2 linked regions of the Lepisosteus oculatus genome follow. The protein of the gene in region 2 interacts with the protein of the main gene of each other region in a biochemical or structural test. Links are inferred from orthologs where the notes say so. Each region holds a gene or a part of one and is shown on either strand. Other genes may lie near its edges. The genes, in order: otx2b and foxa2.

What was found.
Region 1: the proteins of foxa2 (region 2) and otx2b form a complex in vitro, tested with the Homo sapiens proteins (2 studies listed by BioGRID). The link is inferred for Lepisosteus oculatus from reciprocal best matches to the Homo sapiens genes FOXA2 and OTX2.

What each region holds. Positions count from the first base shown.
Region 1 is NC_090703.1:10,051,135-10,067,316, reverse strand, and holds the start of otx2b (homeobox protein OTX2), read right to left. Parts: upstream 6,329-16,182; 5' UTR 6,209-6,328; intron 6,084-6,208; 5' UTR 6,003-6,083; intron 1,862-6,002; 5' UTR 1,751-1,861; coding exon 1,654-1,750; intron 862-1,653; coding exon 710-861; intron 89-709; coding exon 1-88. UniProt on the Homo sapiens protein: Transcription factor probably involved in the development of the brain and the sense organs. Can bind to the bicoid/BCD target sequence (BTS): 5'-TCTAATCCC-3'.
Region 2 is NC_090697.1:10,716,857-10,732,443, reverse strand, and holds foxa2 (forkhead box protein A2), read left to right. Parts: upstream 1-9,047; 5' UTR 9,048-9,304; coding exon 9,305-9,373; intron 9,374-10,182; coding exon 10,183-11,355; 3' UTR 11,356-11,765; downstream 11,766-15,587. UniProt on the Homo sapiens protein: Transcription factor that is involved in embryonic development, establishment of tissue-specific gene expression and regulation of gene expression in differentiated tissues.

The sequences.
Region 1 (16,182 bases), on a different chromosome or scaffold from region 2:
TCTTGGCCGGCCTGACCTTGTTCTGGCCCCCGTTCTGCTGCTGTTGCTGCTGCTGTCGGCACTTCGCCCTCCTGTTCTTAAACCAAACCTACGACACAGCAGCGCATCGGTCACAGAACTGGCGAGTGAACAGGGGAACCAACGTGCACGCAAATAGAGTGAAAATACAAAATAATGACAGAGGAAGTGGTGCCACGATTTATTAAACTGTCTAAAACATAAGTGGCATTTCTTGTGACCCCCTTAATAATTATCCTAATCCTGTTCATATAGCGCTGTTAAATCGAGTGCGTCCTGAATGCTAAACTCAAGGTGTGCTAGATCACAAACGAACTAAGATATTATGGACAACAATAAAGTATTACTAATAGCAATAATCACACGTTTCATGACTCGTTTGCTTCAGCTACCTCTCGCAACTTGAGAGTGTCCCTGTTCTACTTTAAAATCACCCTCTTAAGCCACGTCTCTGCTTTTAAATTAAATTTTGTGTGAGAGCCCCTGTTCACGGCGATTAGAGCAATCAATTGAAAAACACACACACACTGTACAAGACTGGGTTTATTCTGAAGGGGGATATAGGGTTCATATTAAAAGCTTCTCTGAGATTCTCCCCAGAGGCTGCTAAGGGAAAAATGGAGGGGAGGGGGAGTTTGTCACGGACCGTGGCGGGATCACCCCCCTGTGCTCTCGCGGTGATCCTGCTCACCTGTACACGAGACTCGGGCAGGTTGATCTTCAGAGCCACCTCCTCGCGCATGAATATATCCGGGTAGCGAGTCTTGGCGAAAAGGGCTTCCAAGACGTCGAGCTGTGCGCGGGTGAAAGTAGTCCGCTCCCGTCTCTGTTTCCGAGGCGTTGCTGCAGATGAATAAAATACATTCGAGTGCATGTAGTTTGAGGCCGGGCGTGATGCTTAAATAATTTGGGAATTTACCAATAGCCACAAAAGTGTGCAGATAAATTGTGAATTTTGTTAAAATCCGAAAAGTTGTTTTTTTTGCTGAGCTTCGACATAGTCATCACAAGGTAATTCATATTTAAACACTGTTTAAATCATATATAATTACACTATCGTTAATAAACATGCGTATTTTATACGCTCATACCCCAACACACAAATGCATATGCGCAATTAAAAGATGAATGTAATTTCAATTTTCCTAAAGGGTTATTTAAAATTGTAGAAAATCGGTAAGAAATGTACGTTTCTGTTACTACATTATTATTAAGTAGTTAAATGTTAACGCCTTCGGCGTTAGGTGAAAAATAAGCTACATTAAAAAAAAACTCTGGTCATAGAGTTTCTACAATTACAATGTGGCCTTGTTATATCATTCTACTCAATTGCCAAATTATTAATGTCCTGTCAAGTTTAAAAGAGAACCAAACACTTTTTACATTTATCCACTGTGTATTTTTGGGGGGTGGATCTCGAGTACAAATATTTTTTACCTGAATATAAAACTGAAAAATCAGTCCATTAAGAAACAAACAACAACAACGACGACATTTTAGAAATTCGCCGCTTCGTTTCGTAAACAATTTAAAAAAATTACAATCCTTTTAGAAGCAGAAAAAAATGGTTCCCTAAATTAAAAAAAAGTAAAAACCCCGCACCCTGATAGCGAATCGAAGAGTGAGCGCGCTTACCTGGGTATCCTACGGACGGATGGAGGAGATCCATCCCAGAGGTAGTTAGACTCAGCCCATTGACTGTGTAAGGTGGTTGCTTGAGATACGACATCATGCTAAAGTTGGTTCGGAGGGACAAATTGGCAAAAATGGCGAAAAGCAAGCAGAAGGCCCCTCGGAGTCCTCGCTGGTTCTTTCTGGCCCTCGGCTGGCGAGAGGTGAGTACCTGCCCGACAAATCAGAAACAGAAGCGCGGAGGCTGCGTGTGAGCCGAAGGGGCTGCTCTGATTTCGGCTTCTTTGCGGGATGGGCTCGCTGTTCCTGTAGCTGCTGGCGCTAAGTTCAGAATGAGCGCCGTCCTGCTCGCACTGTGCTCTTAAAGCGGCCCTGGACCCCCAGCTGTCCCAGTGAACTGAGTGATGCTCTTGCCTGACAAACGTGTCCCAAAAAAAAAAAAAAGCAAGCTACACCCCATAATTGCAGCACGCCTTCTCGGAGAACAAAACACATTCGTTCAAATGCAGACACACTGGGCAGCAACAAGGAGCACAATTTGCATAGGGACCCATAGGTTCGGACCAGCTAATTGTTTCCAACGTAGACTTGATTGGGGGCCATTTGGAGAGACAAAGGCCGGTGTTGGCCAGATAAATAATGCTGATAACAAAAGCCCCGTTGGCGAGAAACAAAGAAACAATGAAGAAAACTCTTCGCTCCCCATTTTGTAGCCATTAAGCTAGCACCGCTTCTTCGTTTTAATTATATCTGCGGGCTTTGTCTACATAATAGAAATCGCTGTCAATTTAAATAGGATGTCATTAAAATGTGAAACACCAGTACTTCAGCAAATAACCAGAAACTTGAGCAACTCTCTCACTCTGCAGTTCCACTAGACATGCTGCTGTCTTTTTTTTTTACTCTTCGTCATTTCCAACTATTAACGCCTCCGGTAATTTCATTTTGAAGATTTCAAAAGAAGTTTATTAGGCAATCGACAGGTGTTGATTAGAAGTGTTTAAAGAGACTTGCGTTAAACAAACAATCAACTTTCAATTACAAACTCATTCTTTACGCGCTTTCACAGCACCTCTTGGCTCATTTACGGCGTTAAAACCGACTACAACTTGCGAACTGGGTAACGATTTTGGAAAAATCTTAACATCTACCTTGGTTGTATGGGGAGCTGTATAACCTTAGTTGATAACAAGAAATAACATTGATTTTTTTTACAAAAAAAGAATTCCAGGAATCATACCCGCATTGAAATAATATATAATTACATTACACCACATAATTACAAAACTGCTGCACAGAAAAAAAAACCCTTGACACAATTCAGCTTTTAAGAAAACTCAGAATAACTGTCACCGTACACGATGCCAGTGCAATAGATTAATTATCAACTTTTTAGAACTTTTCAGGAACCACGGCGTACTGGATAACAACCCCTCGCGGCAACAATCAGCTTTCTCAAGTGCTGCTAAGACAGATTTTTGTAATAATATTATCTGATCCCTCCCATGATATCATCACTTTTGTGTTTTACAAGTTTCCCGGAGCCACTGAGAATCTTCAAAATGGCGACTATAAAATCTTAAACCACACGTTTCCTCAAAGGAAACTTGTCCCAAAGTTCAGTTAAACAATACACTAAAAATAATATTAACCTTTTTTCCTTGGATATAATTAACCTTTTTTTTTCTGGGCCTCTTGTATACTCCATGAATGCAACACCATACCTACACTGTAAAGGTAAGAGGAATACAGCCCACAAAAGTCCAGATAAACTAAACTCCTTTACTCACCTCGGACGAACAACCCTTTTTCTTAAGAAGTCAGTAACACTTAGTGCTAACATACAAGTATATGTGTGCGTGAAATCGTTAATTTAATTTGCAATTATCCCGCACGTTATAAAAAAATAGATTTGGTGTCAAAATATTCGAAAAGGCAAATGGATTGAAGACGCCAAAACATAATTGAAATCTAAAATAAATATGAACAAAGATGACGCAAAAATACGACTATATAATTAATATACATACGATTGTCTTATTTCTCCCAGGACATTTAAAGCCAAGCAATAAGACTAGTTCTGTATTCAGTTACAGTTCAGGTAGATACGACATTAAACAGGAAACACTTTTTTTTTCATCCCAGGAGTATTAATTTTAAGATTTCCGAAAGTCCCCAGTTTTGTCCCACCCACAATTCCATTCAGTTCCAGTTTGTGAATAAAAATCGGAGGTTCATACCTGCAGAGCTGGAACTGGTAGGAGCGGAGATCGCCTGAGTGCAAGAGGCCACGATTGCACGTTTTATATCTAACGGCTAACCGGGCCAATCTGTCACTTTATTTTGCACAGACCTTCGTCTACCAGTTGCTCCTCACCCGTTCAATAATAATTACCCTGTCCAAGAATTAATTATAATAAATGTTTTTTTCTTGATAAATTAACGAGATAATCCGGGTGGCACGCGCTCCCTAATTACAGGACGCTAACCTCGACTCTGCAGCGCATTTGGGCTGATTAATTTTCTGCTTGATGAAAATGAAACAAAAAAAAAACAACAACCATAGACTGGCATTCTGTTGATCAAAAACGCAGCCTAGCCGATTGTCGGCCGCAGTTGTTTTAAAGGCCTGTATTTCTGTAAACGTTTTTTTTTTCCATGTCCAGATTGGAGCGGGAGTAGTCAGTCAGTCAGAGCCCAAGCGTTCCTATATTTATTTAGAAAATGTGTTAATGTGTCTGGAGATTCTTAAGGTACAAGCCCTCAGACAAGAGCGGGGAATATAAATTCACCACTGGTTTACGGGTAAGTCAATTTAATTCCATACATTTCTAAAACAAAACAACAACAACAACAACACAATTATTCCGACTTTTAAAAAAACGAATAGCACATATTACTGAAAATCCCTTCGATGCATATATTGTACGATATTTAATTCAAATATATGCTAATCTTGTAGGCTACATCCAAATGTATATATACTGTACGTATCTTATGTTTTTACATCAGCAAAATGAAAATTATATAGTATAATTTTACATGTACATATGTCTAATTTTCATAAGATACGTTTTTATACTGAGCAAAAAGTCTATTTTGCGCGTGTAGACTGTACTGATACAAATGGCATGCGGGATTCGTGTAAAGAAACACCCAATATTTAATTCGTTTACATGAAAGTTGCATTTCCAGCGGAAGAGCAATTTCAAGAAGCACAGAGCCCGTTTGACTGGGCAGTAATCAAAATTTCTCAGGGCGAGTTAAACGAAAGAAAAGGGTTAATTTCTAACTCAGTTTTATGTGTTCGTTTTATATATCGACGCCATACGAAATACCACAGAAACAGTTTAGATATTCCAGAATTAAAATATCCTTTCGGTTCATACAGCAAAAAACCTCGTTTGATCGATTTAACGACTGCCAGGATACCACCGGCGGCCACAGTAGCCGAACTACGTGATGACTAAAGCACCGCGTTAATACAGACTATTCGTTTGCAGTCTTCTGCATCGATCACCGTGTCTGGGCGGAAACGGGATTCTCGGGACCGGGGAGTATATCTCAGTTTGAAGGATCTAAAGGAATAGTGGACCGCAAACGGAGGCGTGCAGCCCAGACTGTCTGACCCGGTCCATTCCTGCACGGTTTCCTGCCTGCCCGCGCTCTGCCGGAGAGGGGGGACAGGCGAGCAGCAGTGGAAATCGGGGTGCCGGGGGGCGGAGAGAGCAGGACTACTCGGGGAAGAAAGACTCCGATACACGCCTCCTCAATTACCGCTCTTTGTCCGCCTGTATTTCCATTACAAGTGGGGACATTCAGCGGAATTCGGAAGAAAATACGAACAGGCGAAAGTTGCGCCAGGAGTTTCTGAATATCTTAACAATGTAAAACGATTATTACAACACTATTTGCTTTTATAAATCCGTTTAGTGGAAGCAAAATTCGAAAACACAGTAAACCGTTTTGTTCATGATACATCCTTGTATGTTTATTTCCAGGCTTAAAAGCACAAGCGGTTTCACAGGTAACACGTTGTGCAGTAGGCTTGAGTTTTCGGTTGCCTTATGTACCGCCGTGAAATCTAGTTTTTCTACAAGCTAATTCGGATTACAAAGATTTGATTTGATTACTATGCAGAGCAAAATAGCCATTTTAATTCCCGATCGTGTATTTTTTCAAGACAGACTTCGTTTAATAGACTAAAACTTATTTTATCGCCCACCAATTTCTTTCTAAAACAACCGCCTGCGAAAAAAAATCTCCACGGAGTGCTGCACTTCTACGCCGTAAATAATAAAAAAAAGGGATTCGAAACACAGTCCTCAAAAACACACGGGAATGACTCTTACCTGATTTTCCGGGAGCGGGTTCGGCCGAAATTCGATTTGTGCCCCCACCCCCCCGAAAAAAAACTTGAAAGTAAGGAAATCCTGTAAGAAAGAGAGAAAAAAAAAAACAGCAGAAGAGAAAAATCAGGCGAATTCAAGCCTGGACATTTTGCGCGACATTTTGCGAAGCGGTGGCGAAATCCTGGGGAAGAATTGAAAATACATACGGTAGCGATTTGTTGATCTTTCTGTCGAAGTTGCGGAGTTGGGCTTGGAGAGAGCGCGCCGTCCAATGAGAGAGGCTGGAAGGTTGAGGTCTGTTTCTCTCTCAGGGAGATTTGCTGAGAGACAAATCTCACCAGCAACTTTTTGACGCAAACTCCCCAGCCAATGGCAGCGAGAGCCTGATTGACAACGTACCCAGTTCGGAGTCAGAGAAGGGAAAATAATAATAACACGCCAGTGTACAGCGCAATAGCGCTACGGGGGGGAGAGAACGGTCTTGCTGTCGTCCAACGTCTCCAGTCCTCCTGGGTCAGGGTTGATAGAGGCGGCGGATACATGGGAGCCCCTGATGGATTTATTATCTACACATTTTAAAATGTTGCTTTTACTATAAACACCCCCCCACACACACACACAGACACACACACCATAAATACAACCGCTACTACCGTCTTCTGAGGGACAACAGAGGGCATTGTTTTCAGTCCTAGATAGTAGGACTTTCTAGAGAAGAAAGGTGAGCATGACGTCCCCTGAACCCCACGATTAATTAAAAACAGCAGTAAACACCCCCCACTCGCGCCCCGAGGACTCAACCGGCTCACCGGACGGCTTCCCTAAATACCTAAACCAGGGTTTCACTGACATCGTAGTGTGCACCACGGGGAAAGACAGACCGGTAGAATTTGTTCTTCTTTTTTTTTATATATATAGCAACCATACAGATCTAGAGACTCGGCGACCCTCTGAAGAACATATACTGTCACGCCCTGCTCCCGACACTGCTTTTGCCCCATGACAAGCGAGTAAGCGACGGAATACTGTAGTTGAAGTTTTCAGAAGAGAGACTGGGAATTCCCAAGGAAGCGAAGTTAGTGCAGGTAAGACTGAAAACTTCCTGAAACACCCCAACTATGTAGTTGCTGAGGTTATATACTCCGGACGGTGCGTGTTTAGGGGCTGCCCGAAGAGTTTTTAATAGCGCTAAACTTGCACATTACAAACCTTGCCACGGATTTCTGTTGCGACAGATACATGGCGACACAAACCTGGAGGTGCCCACTTCTCAGACAAGAACAAGGACGTTTAAGAAGGTCCTGTGAAGTTCTTTGATGGGAACAGCAGAGATGGGCGATGATTTACTGATTTAATTTCAACCACTGTCTTTTTGGGGGAATTGCAAAGGACACTTCAGGTATGTATGGATTTGATTTTTTTGTGTCGGATATAGATTCTGCTTACAGTGGAACAGTCTAACTTGTATTGTATTATTTTATAAATCACCTTTTAGACGGTAATATGACTTGATTAATCGCTAGAAATTTGAGGAAATATACTCTTATTAGGGAACAACAACAACAACAACAACAACAACAACAACAACAACAACAATAATAATAATAATAATAATAATAATAATAATAATAATAATATAGAAAGTACGGTTGCGGAAGTTGTCAATATCTAAGAAATAATACCCAAAACCAATGGATAGTTAATTTATGTTCTGGCATTTGACACGTGCTTTAATAAAGTAGAACAAGTTTCCGAACTTCTACTTTTTTCAACTACGTTGTATAATATTACAATTTAAGCATATTTAGGCCTACATAAAACACGGTAGTTCATCTATACGTGCTCTTTCTGAGCGTATGTGTATTTCAAAGCTAGAAATGAGTTCCCAAAGGTAGGCGTGATAAGGGAGGAATTTGACATCCCGCTCGGAGTCACTCTGAGCTGTCTGGTGTCCACGAAAAAAAAATCCAAGAGGAAAATGTATAGGAGAAAAAATTCCAAAATAGTTTTTCGATCTTTCCATCAGTGTATCAACATGAAGCAAAGCGAACGCTATAAGCAAACGAGTGAATAATATTAACAACAACAACAACAACAACAACAACAATAATATTTTTAAATAATTTTAATAATAATAATTTAAAGTGATGGCATTTTCAGGTGGGATATCAAATGACTGTCTGCCGAGGGTTTGAACGAGAGAAGCGACTGCTTCGAACCCCCACTTAACCTCCAGTCCTCTGTGAAACGAGTGCATCCCCACAAAAACAAATCGGGAGGATTTTGTCACTGTTTGGTATATGTATCCTCTTTAGAAAGCTTTGAGAAATCCAGACACACATCCCACACAATCTTCCCCGCTCCCCCCCCCTCTCTCTCTCCCTCACTCTCTCACTCACACACACCTCAGTCAGATTTGAATATAGATTTAGGTTTTAAACCCAAAGCCGGAATCCACAGCTTCATAAACCCCCGGTCGGTTTGAGCAGGAAATTCACGCATTCTCAACTCTCCGTTTGCCATTCTGAAATGCGTGCGGTGCGAGGTTTAATCATCACCGTTGAAATAATCAGAGGCAGGACGAAATAAAAGGTCTCAGATAGGACGTGAGCTAAGTTTTCCGTAAGAGGACTGATCTTCCTCTGCGATGGAAACAAAAGTTTGGCGGCGAACGTCGAGGCTCACTGCTAGCAACTTCAGAGGTTCGGTCACTATCAGACCATCAGTGGAAGAAGAGGACGGGAGAGAAAAGGGTATGATTTTACATGTCAGTCCATTGTTAACGTACTTCATCAAATCAATCCATCACGTCCGTCTCCGTATCAGTCGTGTCTGCCTGCTCATACCTCCAGTTTGTAAATAATAATAAAACATTTGGTTAGAACCGAAACACAACGGCTGCGTAAAAGCAAACAGCAAAAGGAGGAACTCCATATAATTTTATACCAGGATTATTTGCATTGTGTGTCACCCACCCACTCTTACAGGGGCCCACGGATCAGCCTCTTTTGTCCCCGTTTCCCCCGATTCCCTCAGCCCCAACCCCCCCCGCGTGCCCGCAGTTTCTCGGAGCGCTCGGGGACAGGTCGCGTTTTGTTAGGGATTAGCGAACAAGCTAATTGTTATTGCTGCTCTTTTCACAGCCTCGCAACTTTGTTTGCTGCAAACTCTTTCAGGACTGTCTTCCAATAAACTCTCCACACCCCGGCAGCCAGGGAACAGAAAGAGGGACCCAACCTGTCACAGAATCTAAAATGCATTTACAGTCGTCTGTTTTTTTTCTTCTTCTTAAATTTTCGATCGTCTGTCCGAAGAACGGCACAATTATTTACTTTATGGAAAACAAGACGCAATTCAGAGAGTTCATGAAGTTGGATTTCGACGAGCTGTTATTTGAATCAGCTTGAAAACGTTTTAAAAATAACGTTTTTTTTTCCGAAAAGGCAATAATTATATACATATACGATGACACCTTTACATCATTAATTTTATATGCAACCATTATATGAAACCATTTCCCCCTAAATTCACTGAGTTGTCATATTATATTTTCTTTTTTTACTATGTATTTATTACTATTTACGTATTTACTAATTTTAGCATTTACATCTCATAAGGAAATTCCATGAATATTCCATTACAAACGCTAGATGAAAATGATAACCTGTGATTATTGTTAGTCGACTACTAAAACATTCTGAGAGGTTTAATCTTAAACGGTTTTGGACTGCAGGATCCAGCGTCCAGTTCGCCTGACGCAGCTCGAGATTATAGCTCGGATGTAACCCGCACCGACTCTTTAGAGCTAAATTGATAAATTATTCATTTTTAAATACCACACCGCCTCGGGGAATTTCTATATTTAAAAAGGAGAACGACGGGAAAACGAAATCGCACACCTCGTGTTAACGCCAGCGGCTATCAGTAACCCCGCTGCCTCGCGGCTAATTGAAGAAGTCGTTGTTTATCCCGGTTTATGGAAAACGAATTGTAGGGTTAAGACTCCTGGGAATCCTGTCCCACTTCACGTAAAGAGTTCCCACATAAAGTTATCCCCTTTCTTCACGCGCCCGAGCAACACAAAGCATTTAAAATAATATTTCAAAATCGAGGCCTTCTTTTTTGGAAGCCTTTTCCATTTTGGAGCGACGACAACAAGGTTTACAATATCACTATACGGAGCTATTCCAACGTTGCCGTCGCCTTAAACCGTAAAGGGAAAAATAACGTTTAGTGCGAGCGTTCGTCGATATATATAAACCAGTTTGAAATATCGATATCAAACTCTCAACTAGATCCAAAATGTTTTAACTCATTCCTGTCAGCTAAATTAACTTGATATTATTTAAGCAACGTTAACATGTAAATTATATATCCCTTTTCAGAGCCGATAGTATAGGTCAAGGTAACTTCGTGCTGACGTTACGATTTTCTTAAATTGGAGTCATTTTGCAATCTGTAATCCCGCAGTCTGTGAACTGTGTGTAATGTGAACTTTAACAGAAAGTTGGCAGCTGTGTTTATTCATATAAAACACCCGAGTAGCACCTGAAAACTGAATAGAACTTGTCAAACAAATGTTCCAACTTGAAACATTTAAGTCAATAACGTACTTTATAATTGAACTGAAGTATTGTATTTAAAAAAAAATATATATGACAGATTTATTAGTAGTAACTGCTAGTTTCTAAATGCAGCCCATCTCTTGATTGCTCTTGTTTGTTTGTAGGGCTTTCTGGGCAAACAACATACCATGGGTTATTTTCCAGTTTAGTATTTAAATATAAAACGATGACGTAAATATACCAAGAATCTTAAAACGAGGATAGCTACAGTATTACAATTCTCTTCATCGTCACTACAACACCCGCCACCAGCCCCTGCTGTTATCATCGCATCAATTGTATTTTTTATTTCAAATTAAATGATCTCACTGGAGTTTCCTGAACGGTTTGCGTGCACATAATGTTTACCGGGATTCCGTATTAAACATAAATTCTGATTGCGCTACAGAGAACAGCTCTGTATCAAGCTGTACACCTGAAGAGTTAAACACAGGACCGTGAGGGATGCTTTGAAGTATAAACGTCTTCCAGCACCCCTGTTCTAGAGATCAGGGTCAGCATGACAATGCAGATAATACTACTATTCATAATAAAATATTTAATAAATATTGTAGCGGGATTAACATCAATTAGAGACTAATTGACGATTGCGGGATAAGGATGATTTTTAAAACTCCTTTCTTCTTCTTTGTCTGAGACTTCAGTGAGGGCTCCGGGACTCATTTTGGAAAGAGCGTCAGTACAAATTACCTGTTTGAAAGAAAACACCGTTGATCTGTTAGGTTTACGTGTTAGTTTAAGACACATACCCTGCGATGTCTATGGGAACGCGGACACCCTTTTAAATAACTTTAACTGGGATGAAGTTATGGCGATTGCAGGGACCTGCGTTTTAAAAAAGAGCCTTAGGACCCTCTCTCGAATATACCGTTTCAATCCGAGTGGAGATGCCGGCGAGCACCATGGATTCAGACGTTATTTACGTATCACATGGACACATACAGTATACGATATTGCATTCCAAACTTTACTTTTCATTTTCTTTCGAAAGAAAACTAATTTCTGCATTCTGTGTCTTGTCTCCTGTCTTTGAGCAAATTCCAAGAAAATCCGGTTGGTATAAAGATTAAGATTAAAATGGTAACGTTCATTTATATTTTAATTGTGATATAAATATAAAATCACAGTCTCGAATACTGAAAAAAAGGGAGCCGGTACCCTCTGTCCAGTTGTGGTTAGCGTGATGCAATCGGTTTTAAGCGACATCCACAGTTCCCATTAGTAACTTTATCCCCCCCACCACCCTACACACATGCCTAAACAATTTCCCCATCACAAGTTTATTACCGCGCCGCCGGTGCTCAGTCTCCCGTCCGGCGCAATATTAATGTTATTGAAAAAATATTGAAAATGAAACGTGTCTTCATTAAGAACACGAGGTAGGGCCCAGAACAAGAAAGCACTTAATTGAAAGGGCAGTGTATTTCAATAGCTCTTTGAGAGAAGATTAAACACTCTCGAATCCAAGCACACAATCGGAGAGAGAGAGAGAGAGAGAGGCCGAGGGCAGCCTGATTCAGTCTTCCTTCACCTTCAAACCAGACCGATAGAAACACACGTAGCTGTTTTCCGCAACACGGAGACACTGTTGCTGTTCTCGCTGGAGACGGTGAGACGTGGTCTTTGAAGAGAACTTTTGAGCCACCGGTCTGTTCTCCTTGGTTTTTCAACGTTGTTCGGTATCTGAGGTTAGGTAGAGTTCCTTTCTGCTGTATCATACTTGTATTTACCTGATTGAAAGAAACAAAATAAATGACGATTGAGCATTTTTTTCAAAGTTGCAGCCAACTTTTTTTTCCATTTAATGCATTTAAAAAAGAATATTGCTAAATAAATGGTGAATCCAATTTTAGTGCCCGCTCCATGCCCAAAAAATAGATTAACAGTGTGGTGTCTTGATGTGTTGACACTGTTATATCTGACTGGCTGAGTTTAAGTATTCAGGAAAAGGGAGATAATGTTGTTGTACATTAAGCATCCTTGTTAGGCTGCAAACATCACCTGGACAAATATATTGACAGATGGAAGGACATCCTGGTCTGATGTTTTTGGTTTAAAACAAGATAGGAGCCATGTTTATACCAAAGCAGAATGGGGAGAGTTAGGTCTCTTTGGTGCACTCCATCTCCATGATCACATCTTCTCAACTGGAGCAGGGATGCAATCGGAATATTTCTGCTGGGTGGCAGAATGATGGAGGGTCAAACTAGAGAGCTGTATTGCTTACAAACGTGCTGAAACAAGAGCACTATCTGATACTTGAAAAAAACGGTGACTATGAGCTGGTAGTTACAACACAGACAGGAAGACGCAAATCAGTGCAGAAACTTGAAGATCACGATGAATTCACCACAGTTCTCTGTTAGTTATATGTTCATTAACCTGGAACTAACCATTTAGGAACAAGGTGTTATTTACAAAGCCAACCTAGGGAGGTTACCGGCAGTAATAATAATAATAATAATAATAAACTTTATTTTATATAGCGCCTTTAAAGGTGGCTTCTCAAAGCGCTTAAAGTAGACAATGGCAAAGTCACACCAGATCAAAACAGCAAACGAAACAAATCAGTCCAGCAATCAGACTTGTTCAAGATCAGTGGAAGCAGCCCAAAAAGGAAAAAAAGTGACAGATGTTTCCGTTCCAATTATTTCTCGATTCCTAGGAGGAAAACGTTATGATCAGACTTTTGCAAAAGTCAGATTAGCTTTTACCACAGGCAGGTCTGCCTTGATTTTTTAGCATTTACTGTAGACGGAGAGTCTCAGAATTCCGCACACACCTCTCCCTGCATGCAATAATGTGGTGGTCACTGGGAAAGGAGCTGATCCCTCATGTGACAATGTTGCAGGTTCACAAGACCTCAAAGGAAAATACTGGTGATCCTTCAGACAGCCAGGGCTATGGCTAACACAATGCTTCTGCAACTTTTTTATAGCACAACATAAGACACAGCAGGGAGCCTTTCACTTTCTAGATTAAGCCATCTTTTAGACATAAGAGGTCCTACGAAAGGGATTTCAATTTGTGGAGATAAACTGTCAACCCCAAGCACATAATTAAATCCAAATGCTTCCCTTCGGCAAAAACAAAGGTTATGTCCTTTGTGCCCCAGTTCAAGACGGATATGTGTTGATGTATTCCATTGTTTGTATTCTCTTTTTTGATATTTTTGGAGATTTTGTAGACAACACCAAAGGCTTGTCATCTGGTGTTTACATTGCACTTGCAAATGTCGGAGATCTTTTGTCTGCTGATTTTAAGTTCGCCACATTCGTTCAGTTGCCTCTATTACCTGCTTTCTGCCTTGGATTTCAAAAGAGGGAAGCCACCAGATCTCAACAAAGTATTGGCATTGGAAAAAGTGCTAGCGTAATGCAAGAGGAGGGTGACTCAAATGAAGCTGAAGCACTCACGTTTGTAACATTAACACTGCATTGTTGTGAGTCGTTGAAAACTAGGACTATACCAATACCACCTGTCTATTTTGTATCGTACAGTTCACACACTGGCTGCCAGGTTAATAACGTTGCCATCCTTCTTCCACTTGCTAAGAAAGTCAGAAAAATACATTCAAGATTGTGAACAAAGTATTTTAATTTCCTAACCTTGGAATAATAAAGAGTCGACATAAAGGAACTGGCCAAACAAGGCATAGATCTGTTTTGCTTTCTTGAAATATGTGCATACTGTAACACTGAAATTAAAAGTGAACTTTAAAGGCCTAAGTAAGGTGTTTGTGTATTAGCTTATGTATTTGTGCTGTGGATTAATTTCCTGCCACTAATATTTTATGGTTATTAATCAGCATTGTAATTGTTTGTTTTGTGTTTGCACAGGGGCCTTGCTACAAACAAATGGATTCAATTAAATCTCTCTTCCCTCTTCTAAATATCAATATGTGAACTCCAGCAGAAAACAAGGCTTTGCGAATCTCACAATGACAAACGCTGCTGTAGGAAACACTCCCCACACATCCAGAAGGTGAATTTAAGGAAACAAAGATGTGGCTGAGAGCTGTTTCAATGTGGCAATCTGCTTATAGTGGTACCATGCCAGTAATTAGCATGGTGTGTTCTTTTGGCTACATGTGCCCTGAACTGTGGTAAAAATGTATAATTAATATTGTTGTAGTATCATTTCGAGTTCTCGTAGTAAAATTTACACTACTACACTGCAGCTCTTTTCCCGTAATATTTGATCTTTCTTAAAGAAGCAGAGCTTAAAAAAAACAGATGCCATTTCCTGTGTGTGACATTTGAATGGACAAAATAAACGCTTCAATGGTATAATTAAAATGAGAAGTGGATAATCCATTCTTTTCCATCGCCTATATCAAAGAAACGGCAGAACACATACACTTTCAGAGTTCAATGCAAGGGCTGTATCACAAAATGCCACATCTTTTAGAACTTAAATAAGTGGTTGAGCTTCTGTTGAGCTGCAGTATTTGGGAGAAACAATGGATTGGAACGTATTTTTCATGTCTGTGTGCGTGTGTGTTTTTTTTCCCTATCGAGTGAAGCCTGAGCCTTAGGAGTGGAGGTGGTGTGTTTGCCGAACACACAGGGCAGTGTTTGGCAATGAAAGTCTCACCCTAGAATAGGTCCAGCTCTCCTCCGTGCCCAGCTAAGGATCGGTACAGGTAACAAAACCTTCCCTTTGCCTTTTTCAGCATTCCCATCATTGTCCCTTCACCTCCTGGAGCAGCTCCTTTTCTCCTTAGGCCTGGCGTGGGACTCCGATGGTCTCGTCCTCCTGGCCAGACTGTTCCCCCAGCCAACAGGGTTAAACACGCGTCTGCATCTCACATCGCTCACAAGCTAAAGTGGCACAATACTCGCCCTACTAGGGCTGCCAAAAACTCTTGAGCCAATAAAAGTTTGAAATAATGAAAACTGTAGATGAGAATTTTTTCCTCCTTCGTTTAGCCAAACTGTTTTTCCCACTTTTCCATTTTTCTCATTTTTCTTTTTTGCATGACATTCTTTCCAGCAGGGGCTTGGATGAGGTCAGGCTGTGCGTGGCGTGTGCGTGGCTTGTGTTTTGACCCTCATTTCTGTAAAATCTACAGATTATAGTCGTGCAGACGCTGAACACGGAAAAAAAAAAGCCATTCAAACAAATCAGCAATTCCTGCTTCTGATGTCTATTTCTTCAATACAAAGTCTGAGTTAAAAAGCCTTGATGACAAACAGGCTAGCTGAAGCATAACCAGTATGAAAATGCATAGATTCTACAGCATGTAAACATCTATAGCAGAAAGAGTGATACTGCTCTCTTTGTGACTAAAATAAATACTCGTGTACATGACAGAGTCGGAGAGAGAATGAGAATGTGCTTTAGGAGCCTGCGTGACCTGCTAGCTTTCAATCATTGTAATTGTGTATGCACATATGTAAATACAAATCACAATATTTAAGTTTTTTTTTTTACAATCCCAATTATAAATCAAATGATTTGATGCATTCTTTCATTTGCGGTTTTATTCATTTGTTCATAATCTCCTGATCAGACCGCCTGTGGGCCACAGAGCAATCAGCACCTTTGCCCAT
Region 2 (15,587 bases):
CAAATTGAATAGTTAATATTGTGAGTGGTAGAGCATTGCTATAGATGGAATGGGTATGTGTAGGTATTTCTACAATAAATGCCATTTAATACGCATTCTTTCTGTAATGATTGATAATGACTTGTGGTTTTCATTGTGCTGCGAATTATCAGTTGATGCAAGACCCCTGTTTGACTCAGGGGTGTGAGAAGTCAACAAGCAGTGTTGAAGGCCTAAGGTCATGTGGATTTTGTCCCCAGCGGTAGAAAGGAGTGGGGCCAATGGATTTGTATTTGCTAACAACAGGCTATATTTATTTTAGATGGAGGAGTGCAATAGGTCTTTGCAAGTTTTATTTTTGTGCCGCAAAATCTGAAAAAAAATAAGTTTTCATTGACTGGATTTCAGACTTAGCAGCAGCAGCTTTAAAGGTTTCATTCAGGTGTTTACCAAGGAAGAAACTGACCACCTGATGCTGTGCAGCCTCTGTTGTGTATAAGGACAGAAGAGTCAGGTGTGTTGTGGATATGATCTTAAGAACCACTGATGACAAACAAATCTTCAGTGTTTGGTGGCATTCTACCAGGTGTTCCTAAGGAAAGGAGAGATGTTTTTCTTAGTTAACGAAAATTGAAAGTCAATGAAGACAGGGGGGAATACCCTTCAACTTAAAAAAAAAAACAGGTAACCGCGGAACCATACCAATTTAGAAAAGATTAATAAGCCTGAATGATCTTTATGTGTAAGGGTCTGGAAGCAACAATTAGAACTTAATTAGAAGATCATCTACAGTATATAGCCCAACAAATCCAGGGAACAGTCAACATGGATTGAGAAACAGCAGTTTGTTTATTTTGTTAAAAGTCTTTGTCCCAGCATCAGCGGTAATGAGATCTGCCACAAAATAGGAAACGGAATATTAAGATTTTTTGGACATCAAGATTTGCTAAGGGTTATCGTGAAAGATTCGTTCTTAAATTGCAGGCAGTCGACGTTCAAGGGAAATGCGTGCTTTTGAAATGAGAACTGGTCAGTTGATGGCCGCTGGTCAGATGCCTGAGTATGCAGGTAAGGGGTTAAGGCTTAGGATAGGGGACATGTTATTACTGGAATACCATGGAAATCAGCATGGACCATTATGGGCCTGGTATGATCTCTTTTTTGTTCCAATCAAGTTTCGAGTTCCATACTTGGAGTGGTTTGATTAGCTGAATAATTGTAACACTTCTAATTCAACTCTGCAGTGATTTACAGGTCATTGTAATTGAAATGAATGAAATGTATTGTGTAATCTAGTGTCAACTATTTACAAAATACTGAGAATGTTTAATTTAGAAAATAGGTTCATTTTCAAACTTTTCTACTCAGGCTGGAACAAAAACCAAAAGACACAAAAGAACTGACTTTGCAACCCTGATCGAGTTTTGGGTACAGTTGCTAACCTAGTCAGGTTCACGCCTGGTACCAAATGAGAGGATTAGCCTACAATATACAGTAGACATGGTCAACAAAATTAAAAAAGACTCAAGACTGAACAAACACCTGATTACATTTATTACAGAGAGGTGGAGAGAGTTGAATGTCTAGGGCAGAGCAGTGGTACTGTGGCTAAGGATCTGCGCTTGTAGTTAGGAGGCTGCTGGTTTAAATCTTGTGGCTAGCAGAGGAATCCTACTCTGTTGGACCCCTGAGCAAGACTGGCCCTTAACTTGAGCTTCTCTCTCCCACTCTCTGTGTCTCCTGGAGAGCAAGCTAGGGTATCTGAAAAAATAAATTCCTAATGCAAGAAATTGTGTATGCCTACTAAAGTGATCTTATTTTATCTTAAGGTAGCAGAAACAAACTAAAGGTGTAAGAGGGGGAAAACTGAACTTAAAGGAGCTATCTGTGAAGAAAAACATGTCTTTATGTTGACACATCACCTTCTACTATGCAGGGAAGTAATAAAAAGGAAACAAAATGTTATAACATATTTACATGAAGAATATTTATTTTAGGTTTACCCAGTATATTCAATATGTATAATTAAAATCAAGAAATAGATGTTATATATATACACTACATTATTATTTAGAATATTGTGTACAGTTTTGGCCACCTTGTTACAAACAATAGTTTTTCTGTTCTGGAACCAGTCCAGAGAAAAGCAGCCAGATACATTCCTGGAAATAAAGGAATACCTTCACCGACAGACAATTTTCAGTCTTACACAGAGAAAGAAGACTATAACAAGACCTGATTCAAATGATCAAAATCGTCAAGGGGTTTGTCAAGGCTGAAGGCACTGGATTTCTTCAGAATCCACAGTCAGACACGAACAGAAGAACACAAGTTGAAACTAAAGGAACGTTCCTGAGAAATTAAAAATGGGAGAAAAAAAACTTTTTCTTTCAAAGGTTTATAGGAAGAAGCCACACAGGCAATGGTGAAGTTGATAATGCTGTCTTCAAAAAATGGTTGATGAGATCCTCAGATCATTCATCTTCTAGCAAACACATGTACTAGATGGAGAGCCTGACCTCTTCTCACTTATAATCTTTCTTATGATCTTATATATTTTATAGATACATAAGTATGAAGGGGATCCCAGTAGAAGACATTATTAGTAGCAAAGAAAATGTTTATCCAAAATCCTCATAAATGGAACAACACTATTGGAATTTTTCATAGCATCTTGCACAAAACTTCAATCTTTGTTGGTGCTGCTTTGGTTTCACATAATTTGTATTTAGCTATCTTCTGCGTGAGCTACAGATAAAAGAGATCATGAGCTGTCGTTATTATTACATTTGCAATATAGGCAATTTGAATGCCTTTAGAAGTCTCTAATTTAAAGTGGACTTTTGTTCCAAAATGTCTTCCCTCCATGCACATTGTAAGACAATGATCTTTTGACTGATATCTAAAATGATATCAAATGTGACTAAGAGATTTATGGTTGGACAGACACAAAAACTGCAAATGGCTGCAAATGAACAAGCACAGTTTAACTCCACGCTGACAAGTAAAAAGAAAAAAAATAGTTCAGCTGTCAAGTCTTCTTGAAGTAGAGAGTTTATATAAAAACATTTCTAAAATGGTTTCAAAGGTTTATAGCATACCTAAAGATTGCATGGAAGATAACATCTGTAGTTATCTTCCACACAAATGCCGACTAACAATTTGATTTAGAGAACTCTGTGATAAAGAAGTAAAGAACTATTTTAACTGGACATTTGAAAAAAAAACAATATAGGGATCTTTAGAAGTTCAACAGAAAAGGTTTCATCTGGAACTTGACTGAATTTGGGTTTACAGTGTAATGTCTGCTTGTAAAAATGTTTTTGATTTTTTTAAATGCGATTTAAAAAATAAAATTGTTTCAAATCAGATGTTTTGGAGGCAAATCCCTGAACAGTAAAGGGGGTTAAAGCTTCACATTTATTTGTCAGACCTTGTCCTACTTGTAGCAGCTCCCTTGCACTAATTTGCCCATCTGTGCACAAACAGCCCAGAATGCCAGATAGTCATGGGTCACGCTGTACCAAAAAAAAAAAACAGCCCATTGCATAACAGGACAAGAACAGGAAATCAAACAGAAACGTACTGCTCTCCACACAACACACACAGCACGGCTTTAGCCAACCAGCTTTCAGACCCCGAGCAGCGGTATGACGCCAGTGTCAGTCATCTGCCTTGAATGGAACAGCGCTTGCAGGAAGTCCTGAATCCTGATGTTAAATGTACACAACTGAGGTGTTTCAATCCCACCGCCTTTTCACACTCAGTCTTCCTCGGGGAATCAATAGGCGGTAGAGTCTAACTGTACTGTACGTTGTTTGCTTCCCCACCCATGCATAAGCGCTTTAGTTATTGATGTAAACAAACACTTTCCCATCATTTCCAAGCCCCACAACGGTTTCAACACACTATCCTGGAAATTGCTGTGCCGATCAATGACACTGAGCTGGGGAACTTTTCAGAGCTCAGGGATTCCTGAAAAAAATAGGAACCCAGTTCTCAGGAATCCAGTAAAACACACATCCAGACTTACACACACGTTCTGCAAGCAGAATGGTATTTGTCAACAAAACTAAAAGTCACAAATGTTCAGAATCACAAAACCTCATTTTCTCATTAGATTCTGTTCATGAGATTAAGTTATTTTTTTTAAATCTCTGGCCTGTGTTTTTGGAACAGTTTGGCTTATGGTTCGGTCATAGAGAGATGTCAAAGATTTTGTCTGTCATTACTATACAGTTACATCTGCATTGATAAGAGATTGTTTTGGTATTATATTATGACAGTTATTGATTCTGCCGTATCATGATTTTTAATCCAACAATTAAAAGCATGAGAACATAAGAAGGTTTACAAATTCCATCTGTTAGACTTTATGACTTTATGATTTCTAGTAGATAATTAATCACAAAATTTCACCCAGTATAAACTCCTGCTTGCAGGATTTCAAAATATTCACTTTAACAAACTGACTGACCAATCAGTGTCTCCCATATTAAATCCTCCCCATTTCTCCCCTTAATTTCCACTTGTTACTCTATATGTTTTTTTATCTTTGGGCTGTTCTTATCATTTCCATTCCTGACTTTTTATCAGTTTTGCTTCAGACTGGAGAGTTTCAGTTCCTTTTTCCTATTTGTACGTGATGTTCCTCTACAATCCAAAAATATTCTGGTCACTTTAATTTAATCACTTTCAAAGGCAACAAAACCTTTTTGTTGTGTGGTCCACAACTCAGAATGCAATATATACTACGCTAGATATATTGAAAACGGGAGTCCGTTTGACCAGTCTAACTCATTTGGCTGCCAGTAGCTATTTGATCATATTGTTCAGTCGTTTCTTGAAAAAGCCGGGTTATCATCTTCAGTGGCATTGTTGGTTAGCTTTTTTAAGACTCCCATAATGCTGTATGTAAAAAGTGACACCCTTCTTGGGGTTACAGTAAATGCATATCACTGTATTATTTTTGTAGTTTCCACTTCTATCCTTTGATTCATGTTTCACTTTTGATTCTGCAGAAGTCTAGTGGGTTGATTTCATCAGAGCCTTTGAAGTTCTCTGACCGGGACTAAAAAGGTTTAGTTCTTTCAGCCTTTCTCTACAATCTATACTTTCATCATTGTTCCTGAAACACTTTACCTCACCCTTCTTTTACTACTGTAACACAGAATAAACCTTTATTATTGATTTACCATCCATTGCATAACCTGTGCTTGTAGTTCATTATAGTCATTTTTTTCAGAGGGATCTGGTTATATCTATGATTTTATCAATTATTTTTCATCTGTATATGTGTCTGAATTTATTAAACTGTTTGGGCCACTAGTAGTACTAATAATAACTAGAATCGCATGTATTCTATCTAGATCTGCCCAGCCCTAAATGCTGTCTAATCCCTCCTGTATGTTCTTTCCCAGAGAACTGAAGTATTAAAGAAAACACATTCAGCATTCACAATTTCAAAAATGGAAAGACTCTATCCCACACAGGGGGATACCATGATAACCCAGTTATGAGTGGTATAAAATACCAGGTGTACTTCAAGATGGACTATTCCAAGAACTGTTGCTAACTGCTTCTGATATTACAGAAAAACCATCAGGCCACCTCTGAAACACTACACTACTGATTGTAACATCAGTGATGGGACATGTTTGGGACATCTACATATAACTACGAAGGCACTAGACAGGTGGGTCAGTGTCACACATCTCTATTATCCCCTTCTGACAAAAGCCCGAACCGGAACACTGCCTAGTAAATAAGGCATCCAGTCCTCCAACAGTCGTTAGGCGAGCGTGACACCTGCACACTGAACAGTTCTGTGACTTGCATCTACACCTGCAAGTGATGATTGCATGTGTTTGCAACGGGACCAAAGTACAGAACTGAAGACCTGGGAGACTGTCTTCCATACTGTTTTAGGAATGCTTTACTCCCTATACATTAAGGCATTTTGTTTTATACTTTACATGTCAAGTATATACAACTTTGTTATTTGCCTCCAGAGCTCTGAGTCTCACTTCTTCCAGACCGCAGAGCAGACAACGTCTTAAAGCCCTTTATCTCCTAGCTGGTTTAAGTGACCTTTTAATTAGCCGAGAGGTGTGGTTAATCCCAAACAGAGCCTATACTGGCAGCTCCTTTCCCTCACGTGGAATTTCACTCCCACTGAGTTCCAATTACTCAGGCAGAATAGCTGTGCCTCGTTCTCCAGGTTTTTCCAATTAACATGTGGCTCTCGCACAAAGCCACCTCTCACTAGCTCACACAGCGGTATTATGGAAGACGTGGAGGATACGGAAGACTTGGTAGAATAAAAGTTATTTGCCGCAGAATTCAATACAAGTGGGACAGATGGGACAAAGGGCTGGCCAATGTGATATGTAATAATAATCCATCCATTTCGGTAACAACTTAGTCCCACACAGGGTCATGACAAGTGAGAACCTAACTTGGCAGGCAGTGGGCACACAGTTTGATACAGGAGCCAATTAAGAGATGGCAGAAAAATACGGCTTTGGACAGGCGGAGGAAACCAGAGAACTCCCAAATAAATCCACCTGAACAGGAAGAGAACATGCAGATTCCACACGCAAAGTCCCACCTGGGACCCAGGAACTGTGAGGCAGACGTGCTAAAGGTCACAACACTGTGCCATCTGTGTGACAGAAGAAATCTACAGCAGGGATTGTTGCCACTTTACCAGACTCCTTAATCGCACAGCCCTTTCTCACTACTGTTACCTGCATCTTAATCCCCAGAATCTATACAGTGAATTGAGGAGCAGTTCAGAGCAGGGGTGAGGGGTGGTGGTCTTAGATTCCCATGGTAGACATTGTTGGGGAGACCCTCAAAAAGAGTCCTGTAAAAACAGGCTGGCGCTCTAGGCGAACTCTGAGCGAAGAGAGCAAGTTGTTGTTGTTTTTACACAAGCCGCTGTCGTGAAATAAGAGTATTTCTGAAACAAATACCTACAGTACAATTGCATGCTTACCTTGAAAAGGCTGAAAATCACGCAAGAGGTAGAGAAGAAATAGATCACGGGACTCCAGGACTGCAGTACTTAAAACGGTAATGAATCATTTGAAAATACGGATTTGTTTCGTTATTTCCGCGTTGATGTCTGGGGCAGCGAGTTCACAAATACAGTGTTTCCACCTGTGCATAAAGGCATTTGTGTTCTGTATTATTTCCAAAAGAGGGCGCTCTCAAATGAATTAATCCCAGATTGGTTTTCTTCAAATTATCAAGAGTATCATTAATAAATAATATTTGAAAACCTCTTTTTACTTAGAACGGTCGGTGTTTTCTAACGACAAATTAGAACGAGAAGCTTATGGAATATGTATGAAGATATGTGTACTGGGGTTCAAGGCTCAATACGGTTCCATCGAAATTAAAAAAATATCTCTATTCTTGATTTAAAAGGAATTGTATAGTTTACTATAGAAATTATTTTTGTTGACGAATCTCAAATCCTGAATTCTTCGAATCTTTACATGCATAATCATTATCAAAGAACTCAAAGAACTCGTTTATTATCAATAAACATAGTGAAATGCTGCTAGATATCGTGTTGATTCTATATGAAATTACAAATACATTCAAAGACCATCAGTATAGTAATATCCACGCTCAGCGATTTTCTACGGCACTCCAAGAACTGCGTCCATGCAGAATTCTCCCGTTTGGTGTGTGTAATAAGTAAATATATTAGCAATGAAATAGCACGATTAATTTCACTTGAAAGAATGTTAGTGTTTTCTGAAGCCTGCTTTATCAGCCATCGCTGAAGAGATCTGTTAAATCTCTGATGGTCAAACACATTAAATAAACTTTACTTTGTTTAATATATCAAACAGCCTGCGGGTTCTCCAGAATCAATAAAATGATGACTCGTGATCTGCGACGCGGCTGCGTGCGAGATGAGTCTAAATTCAAATGCTGCTCCTGTAACTGAGAAAATAAAACTGGATTTCTCTGTGAAAATGTAGCTGAAATATAATTTTGATATAAATAACTTCCAATATTGCTCAAATTTAAAATTGGTCCACCGGGGAATTGTCTCCGCTTGTTTTTGGTGACAGGTCACTCATAAATCCTATTTCATGTTTCCTTTTGTTTTCTTCAGAGAAAATAAAACAAGGTCCACGTTGTGCTTTGTGTAATTCGTTTTGCGTTTTTAGTTTACTTAGTTGCGAAATGTCATGGGCATACAAACCTTGGAAATAGTGTTTTTCAAAAACAGATTTTCGGTTTTCTCTAGGCCAAAACTAGCCAAGCTAAAAAAATGATACCGAACAGGCAAATGATGAATTGGTTGTACAGTTAAAGGTCTGAATTCGGTCTAAAATAGTGATTAAACGAATTAGAGCAAAAAATATTATCCGATGACGATGACCTTAGAAGGACAAAAGGGCTGAAATGAGTAGATGAATGTTAACACACTTCTACGACTAATATTAGGATTTATTAACTGTAGTTTAATACTTATAAAATCACTTGTAAATCGTCTATTGGGAAAGCTGAAACTGGAAGAAATGAGATATCCGTACACGTTTTATTGAGATTACAATGCGTTTGATAAAAAGCATTGTTTAAAAATGTTTTATTAGCCAGTATTGTAAGCGGTAACAAATTCAAGTCAAATAAAACAAAAAAAAAGGAAAAGTTACTCGTGTTTGACCTCATGTTATGGAATACAATTCGATTCTTTACAGCAGAAGTGAACATCTAGTCTTGTTTCTGACGATTCTAACAGGGAATATAGACCACACTCCTGGCAATAAACAAAAAAAGGTCAAAAAGAAGGCAATTCTCTGCATTCCTAATTCCGTCTGCTGAAAAAAAGTGCATGATAAAAAGCCTTCTTACAACAACAGTTTAAACTCAACTCTTTTCTCCTGGAAAACAATCAGATTAGGTTATAATGAATCTTTTCAAATGGGGTTTGTTCTTTTTAGTTAGCGCAGGTGTACAATAGGCGGCCAAGCCGGGGAGTCTCACGCCTAGGTGTGAGCTGATTATTCAAATAGGGCAACGCAGAAGTAGGGATTGGAGATTTCGCCTGGCGCACAGAGCTATATCACAGCGTTTACAGCCAGACACCAACGTCATTTCAGCTCCTGTCATCATCAGACGCTATTCAGCGCCTCTGGGCACCACTGTCTGAAATCTACACATGCTCGAGTCCCCGAGTAGAAAGCAGACCAGCGATCTGGGTTACCGTTGGTCCGAAGTCTTGTTCTAGAGAACTTTTTTTAAAAAAAAAAACCTTCTCCAGAGAAGCTGTTGACCGGGTGGATTCGCTGCTTCCACAATGCTGGGTGCAGTTAAAATGGAAGGACACGAGCATTCAGACTGGAGCACCTATTACGGCGAGCCCGAGGTTGGTAGCTTATATATATTTTTTTTTTCCTCCTAAAGCCGATCCCATTTTATACAACTCAATATTAGCCCTGAGATAATATTAACTTTGTGATCAAATATTGACTTGAGGCGTCTCCAAATCCTCCCCGATCTCCGAGCTGCGCTATCCTAACAAAGTTGGGCTTGGCATGCAAGAAGAAACTTTTTTTCTGGAATTCTGACTTCATCTGCTTACATACAAGTCATGGATAATTTGTTTTTTAAGGATTGCTTTCTTTCATTCTGTAGTGGAAAATACACATGTAATTGCTATATAGTGCTGTCGAGTTGCATTCACTACTTAATGAATATGCATTCAATGTTTCTTTTTCGGTTTCTGTTACACTTTCTGTATTGTTTTCTGTACAATTTGATATTTTCACGTCCTGTGATCGTTCTAAGGAGAACTCGTGAAAAGAATCTTTGAGGAAATCAGTTTCGCTCATGGGACTTCTTTATACATTTTAGATTAGCCGCTGAAAGCACATTTGTTTGATTATCCTGAAAATATTAAATACGTTTCATGTAAGATTCGAGTTGGGTTTTTTTTTCTGCTCGAACGAAGACAACGCTTGGATGAGGAACAACATTTATAGAAGTCGTTTTGTCGAATCAATGATAGGTCGCGGGTCACCATTTTTTTTTGTTTTGTTTTTTTTAAAGTTTTGTTTTCATTAACAAACAAAAACTTAACTGTGGTGCCAAGTTTGTTTTAAGCGCCTTTGACACAACCGCCAGTGATTCGAAAACTTAACTTTTGTGTGTCTTTTTTTTTTCCTGCTCCCACAGTGTTACACATCCGTTGGCAACATGAACACCGGACTGGGGATGAACACCATGAACACGTACATGAGCATGTCGGGCATGAGCACGGCGGCCACCATGACACCGAGCTCCATGAACATGTCGTACGTGAACACGGGCATGAGCCCCTCTATGACGGGCATGCCAGCCGGGGCCGGCTCCATGAACGGCATGGGCCCCGGGATGGCGGGCATGAGCGCGGCTCTCAGCCCCAGCATGAGCCCGATGACCGCGCAGCCGCCGTCCATGAACGCCTTGACGTCCTACCCCAACATGAACGCAATGAGCCCCATGTACGGACAGTCCAACATCAACAGATCGAGGGACCCGAAAACGTACCGGAGGAGCTACACGCACGCCAAACCGCCCTATTCGTACATCTCCCTCATTACCATGGCCATCCAGCAGTCGCCTAACAAGATGCTCACGCTTAGCGAGATCTACCAGTGGATCATGGACCTCTTCCCCTTTTACCGTCAAAACCAGCAGCGCTGGCAGAACTCAATCCGCCACTCCTTGTCCTTCAACGACTGTTTCCTGAAAGTGCCTCGGTCGCCCGACAAACCGGGAAAGGGCTCCTTCTGGACCCTGCACCCGGACTCCGGGAACATGTTCGAGAACGGCTGCTACCTGAGGAGACAGAAGCGCTTCAAGTGCGATAAAAAACTCTCCAAGGAGTCCGGCAGGAAGACCTCCGAAGGCGGATCTAACAGCAGCTCGGAAAGCTGCAACGGCAACGAGTCTCCCAATTCCAACGCGTCCTCCTCCACCGAGCCCAAAAGGTCGCTGTCGGACATGAAGTCCAGCCAGGCTCTGAGCCCCGAACACGCTGCGTCCCCGACATCTCAGGCGCAGCATCTGCTGTCGCAACACCACTCCGTCCTAGCGCATGAAGCGCACCTGAAGCCGGAGCATCACTATTCCTTCAACCACCCTTTCTCCATTAACAATTTAATGTCGTCGGAGCAGCAGCATCACAAAATGGACCTAAAGACTTATGAGCAGGTAATGCATTACTCTGGGTATGGGTCTCCCATGACAGGAGCCTTATCCATGGGCTCGATGACCAGCAAGGGGGGCTTGGAGACCTCGCCAATATCCACTGACACGTCTTACTATCAAGGTGTGTATTCTAGACCGATCATGAACTCTTCCTAAGTTTTCTGCAACACAATGGACCTTTTCCAGCAATTTGTACATTTTGTAAAATAATAGTTTGTGCACACGCATTCCAAAATATTTTTTTGATGTTTCCCAATGATTACTAGATGTCAAGTTTGTTTAGTATTTTTTTTGTAAAAGGGGTGTTAATATATGACAAGATTTGTTTGTTTGTTTTCAAACTCCCACCGCAGCTTTTGAAACGGAACAAAAAACAAAACAACAATGTTACAAATTATGGCACGGTAAATACTGAATTTAAAATGCAATTTGGGAGAGTGAAGTGCTTCAGACGAATAATTTATCGTTTGTGTATTTCTTATTTATGGCTTGTAAATGTGTATTCTTGTAGTTGACAACAAGGGCAGAATATATTAAAGTGTTACTTGGACGTTTTGGGAACATGATCGTCTGGTCTTATTTTCTGTAAAATTATGTTTCATGTAATTACGAACATATTATATAGAAAATATTTCAGCATTGAAACGCATCAGTATGGCTTGATAAAGTCAACATGAAACAACACAAGGTATTTTTATCTACGATGGTAAAAATCATTTCATGGTTTAAAACAGTATAGTTTTCGCTATTTCAATACCAAACGGTGTTACGTTGTGGTTCGCTTCATTTAAGAGTTAGGACATTTATTAATTAAAACCAAGTATTTTACCTTTACGAAAACACCCTAAATCACTGTAAAATGTTGACCAGTCCGGATTTCATAAGGGGCAAAACTAAGAATCAGATCGAAAAATTATTTTGAGCCTAATTTAAAGTAACTAAATGTCCTATCGCATTCAATGATCTAAATAGTGACATATTGTATATCATTTCGGAACAATATGCAATGAGAAACTCAACAGATTTTAAAAACCGCTTTGGGACTTATTCTGTTTTTACCTTTTTGAAATTGTGCTGGAAAAGTACACCCGTTACACCTTCCGCTATTCTCCCCAAATAACGTGAAATATTTGCATTGAAAGGTTAGATCCTACAATTTAACGTTGATATACGGGTAAAACGAGTTTTCAGATGACCTTATAAAAAATCATGAATCAAATATAAAATCGAATAAACTAAATATGCTAAATATGTTATCATATTCTTAATATATGGAGGTGTACGTGTTTCTAAGATGACAGGGTAAATATTTCAGTCTGCTTGGCGCCAGAAAACAAAACATTTGGCCAGGCCTGTCGGTGTTGTTGATGTGTTAACTTTTGCGATTTCACACACACAACGAAGTCCTCTATTTTACTCCTTGCATGGACTCTCTTGCTATGGTTCACCTGCGTGATCATATTCACAGTTCGTGAAATGTTTCAGTGTGTGTTTGTAGCTTTGGGTGCCGCGGTGAGTTGCAGAATTGAAACACGAAGCACAAGAAACCCCACGAAGCCCAGCAGGGCATTTAGCCAAAGCTGCGAAAAGGAAGAAGAGTTAAGATCATCAGTGAACTACAGCAGATGTGGGAATAGGTGAGAAAAAGAGATTTGAACCGCTACAGTCAAACAAATAAAACGACATCCTCACCAACAGCTGATTAGTTCAAACCGCCTGGAACAATCGTTGTAAGCAAAACTAAAGTCCAGCTTAAAGCACTTACTACGCAGCGATGCTGCATATAGTTTCGTTTTTGTGGCGAAATCTAAATTCCATGAAATGGCGCAGTGTACTGAGAAACAGTGCTTTATTAAGTGCGTCTCGCTTTTCGCTGTACCTTATAAAGCAGCTAAATGACAAAACACCCACAGGAGAAGTGTTCTCGATGAATACTTGGTTTTATTGCCCATATGTTTTTCCTGATACACTTCATGATTACTAGTGTTGGGGCAGTGATGACTTAAATCTAGCAAGTCCTCAGAAAATCTAGATTAACATTCTATTAACATGTGTGAGCACTTCCAAACAAACATAAAAAAAATGATTAAGAACGATTACAGTGCCCAATAAATTCATGGACACAAACGGGGTGCGCTCAGTCGTCAGATTGCCGATGACAGCACCCGGTCGCTTGTTAGTAGACGAATGATATCAATTTAATTAAGCTTGATGTCATTGCAAATGCAAAACTTTTTTTCTTTTGATTAAATATAATTTTAATTTAGCTGTACCTTAAAAAGTTAAGAGTATAGCATTCTAGCTCAATTCGCTATTCGGGATTTATTCACTAGTACAAGACCCCTAAAATCATGAAACCACTGATGATGATACTGGTGAGGATTCGATATAAATCTGAAATTGTGGAATCGGTCACAGGATGACTTTAATAGTATAGTTCTTCACTTGGCGCTATTACTGTAACGAAGGGAAAAGGAATGAAAAAAAAGTTTGTTAAAAGTTTTCATTGAAATGATTAAAAATCAATTATTACTTCTTAGAAGCGCAGTAATAAAAATATAGAATAAAGGGGGCTGTGGTTTTATGCGCAATTACTGCTTTAATTTCTGTAACAAGATAATAGGACCCTTGAAGCACTTAAAGAAAGGTTCCTATTATCGTTTTTTTCTGTATGACACAATTTAATACTCTAGATCCTTACTAGTCCAATTTCTTAGACGTCACTATTTCTTCACAACAGCAGCCTAATTTCAAGGTTTAAATGTCAAATTTTTTAATTTTTTTTATTGGGGGGTGGAGGGGGGGGGTACTTTTTCATCTCAAAACTTGAAAACTCAAAAGAAAACTGGGAGGCGTCCAGAGGAGAATGTATTAAACGCATTCGTATTTAAGTAACAGTTACTATGTTATTTAAAAAAAAAAACGGTATTATTCCCGTGCAGTATCTCGGGTTTCCCACGCACAGTATACCACCAGATAGTCTGAACTCGCACCTACATAACAACATTCAAATCCTCCTTAAATTCGACATTGTCCTGAGAATGCAGTCCCCGGGTCGAAATCTCGCCCTCTCTCTCTGTTTCTCTCCTCCGGGAGGACACACACGTTGCGATCCAAGCATGAAATTTGTTTCATTATCACATAAAAGCCTCCCGGGGAGAAGGAGAATGGGGCGGCTTTGGCAACAATGGAGGCTGAATGTGATGCTCTAACCTGTTATGTTCTGTATCACACAGCCATTGTCAGGGGGGTACTTTTAAACTACTTAGTGTCTCCCACTCCACTGATCCTAACAGATAAGATGTAGTTCTCCCCGAATAAATCAAAACCGGGGATGTCATTCTGATCACTGGGAGAAACCGATCGGTTTTTTTTCCCCCCTGTCTCAGCCTTTGGGTGTCTCGCCCATGGCTACCTCCTCACATTCCGGACGTCCAACTTCTCTCACCGCGTCGCTCCTGGTCCCTTTATTTCCACCGTACATGTATTTTCCGACTCCATTCCACAGATCGGTCTTTAAACACCCGCGATCCGTGAATAAACAAAGTTTGTAAACAATGAATATATATATATACATGTAATACCAAATTCCAACAGAGCAAACTTTGAACAGAAAGACGTCACAGTTCAGTAAATTTGCACAGATATTAAATTTCGTTTCTCTTCATTTTAGCCATAATGCTAAGCTGAATTTTTATAACTCTGATCGATATCTCGGTAAAATAATCATTTTTTTAAACTAGCGGGGCAGTGAAATCTTTGCTTTGTGCTAAAGTCAACAGTGGCAGAGTTTGAGCTCAAATAAATGCCGGGATGCCTCGAGCCCTTTGCAGTAGGCTTGTCTGAGACGTTTTAAAACTGGGCTCCGGTCGTTTGTGCAGCTGAGCGAACAAACTCACCAGGTAGGCATATATATATATATTTCACTTTATGCCAAGATGGAGTGTTAAAGAACAGAGACAATCACCTACATCAAAGTGTTTGTTTTAAATATAGCTCCGAGTTCGGATTGAGAAAAAAAAAGTACCAATATTTCAAAGCAATATAACGTATTTTGGGGGTTACCGTTGAGAAACCCAAACCCATATGCCAGTTCAGTACGGCAGGTCGGTTTTTCTTCCTTTACCTTATTGTTATGGGTCAGTTAACAATAACAGGTGATTGATAGTCTCGATGTTATCAGGATAACTCACTTACCCTAAGTGCGCACGGTGTTTTTTTTTCTTTTCAAAATCCAATGCGGACATACAAGCACTCTCACACACGCGCGCGTTCATGCATATATATATTTAATAATATTTAACAGGTAGTCGCGTTTCTTCGTACTTTCGTGCATCGCTATTGTCTCTTTGAACGTTTTGCTTCATCTATTGAATGTTTTATTATGA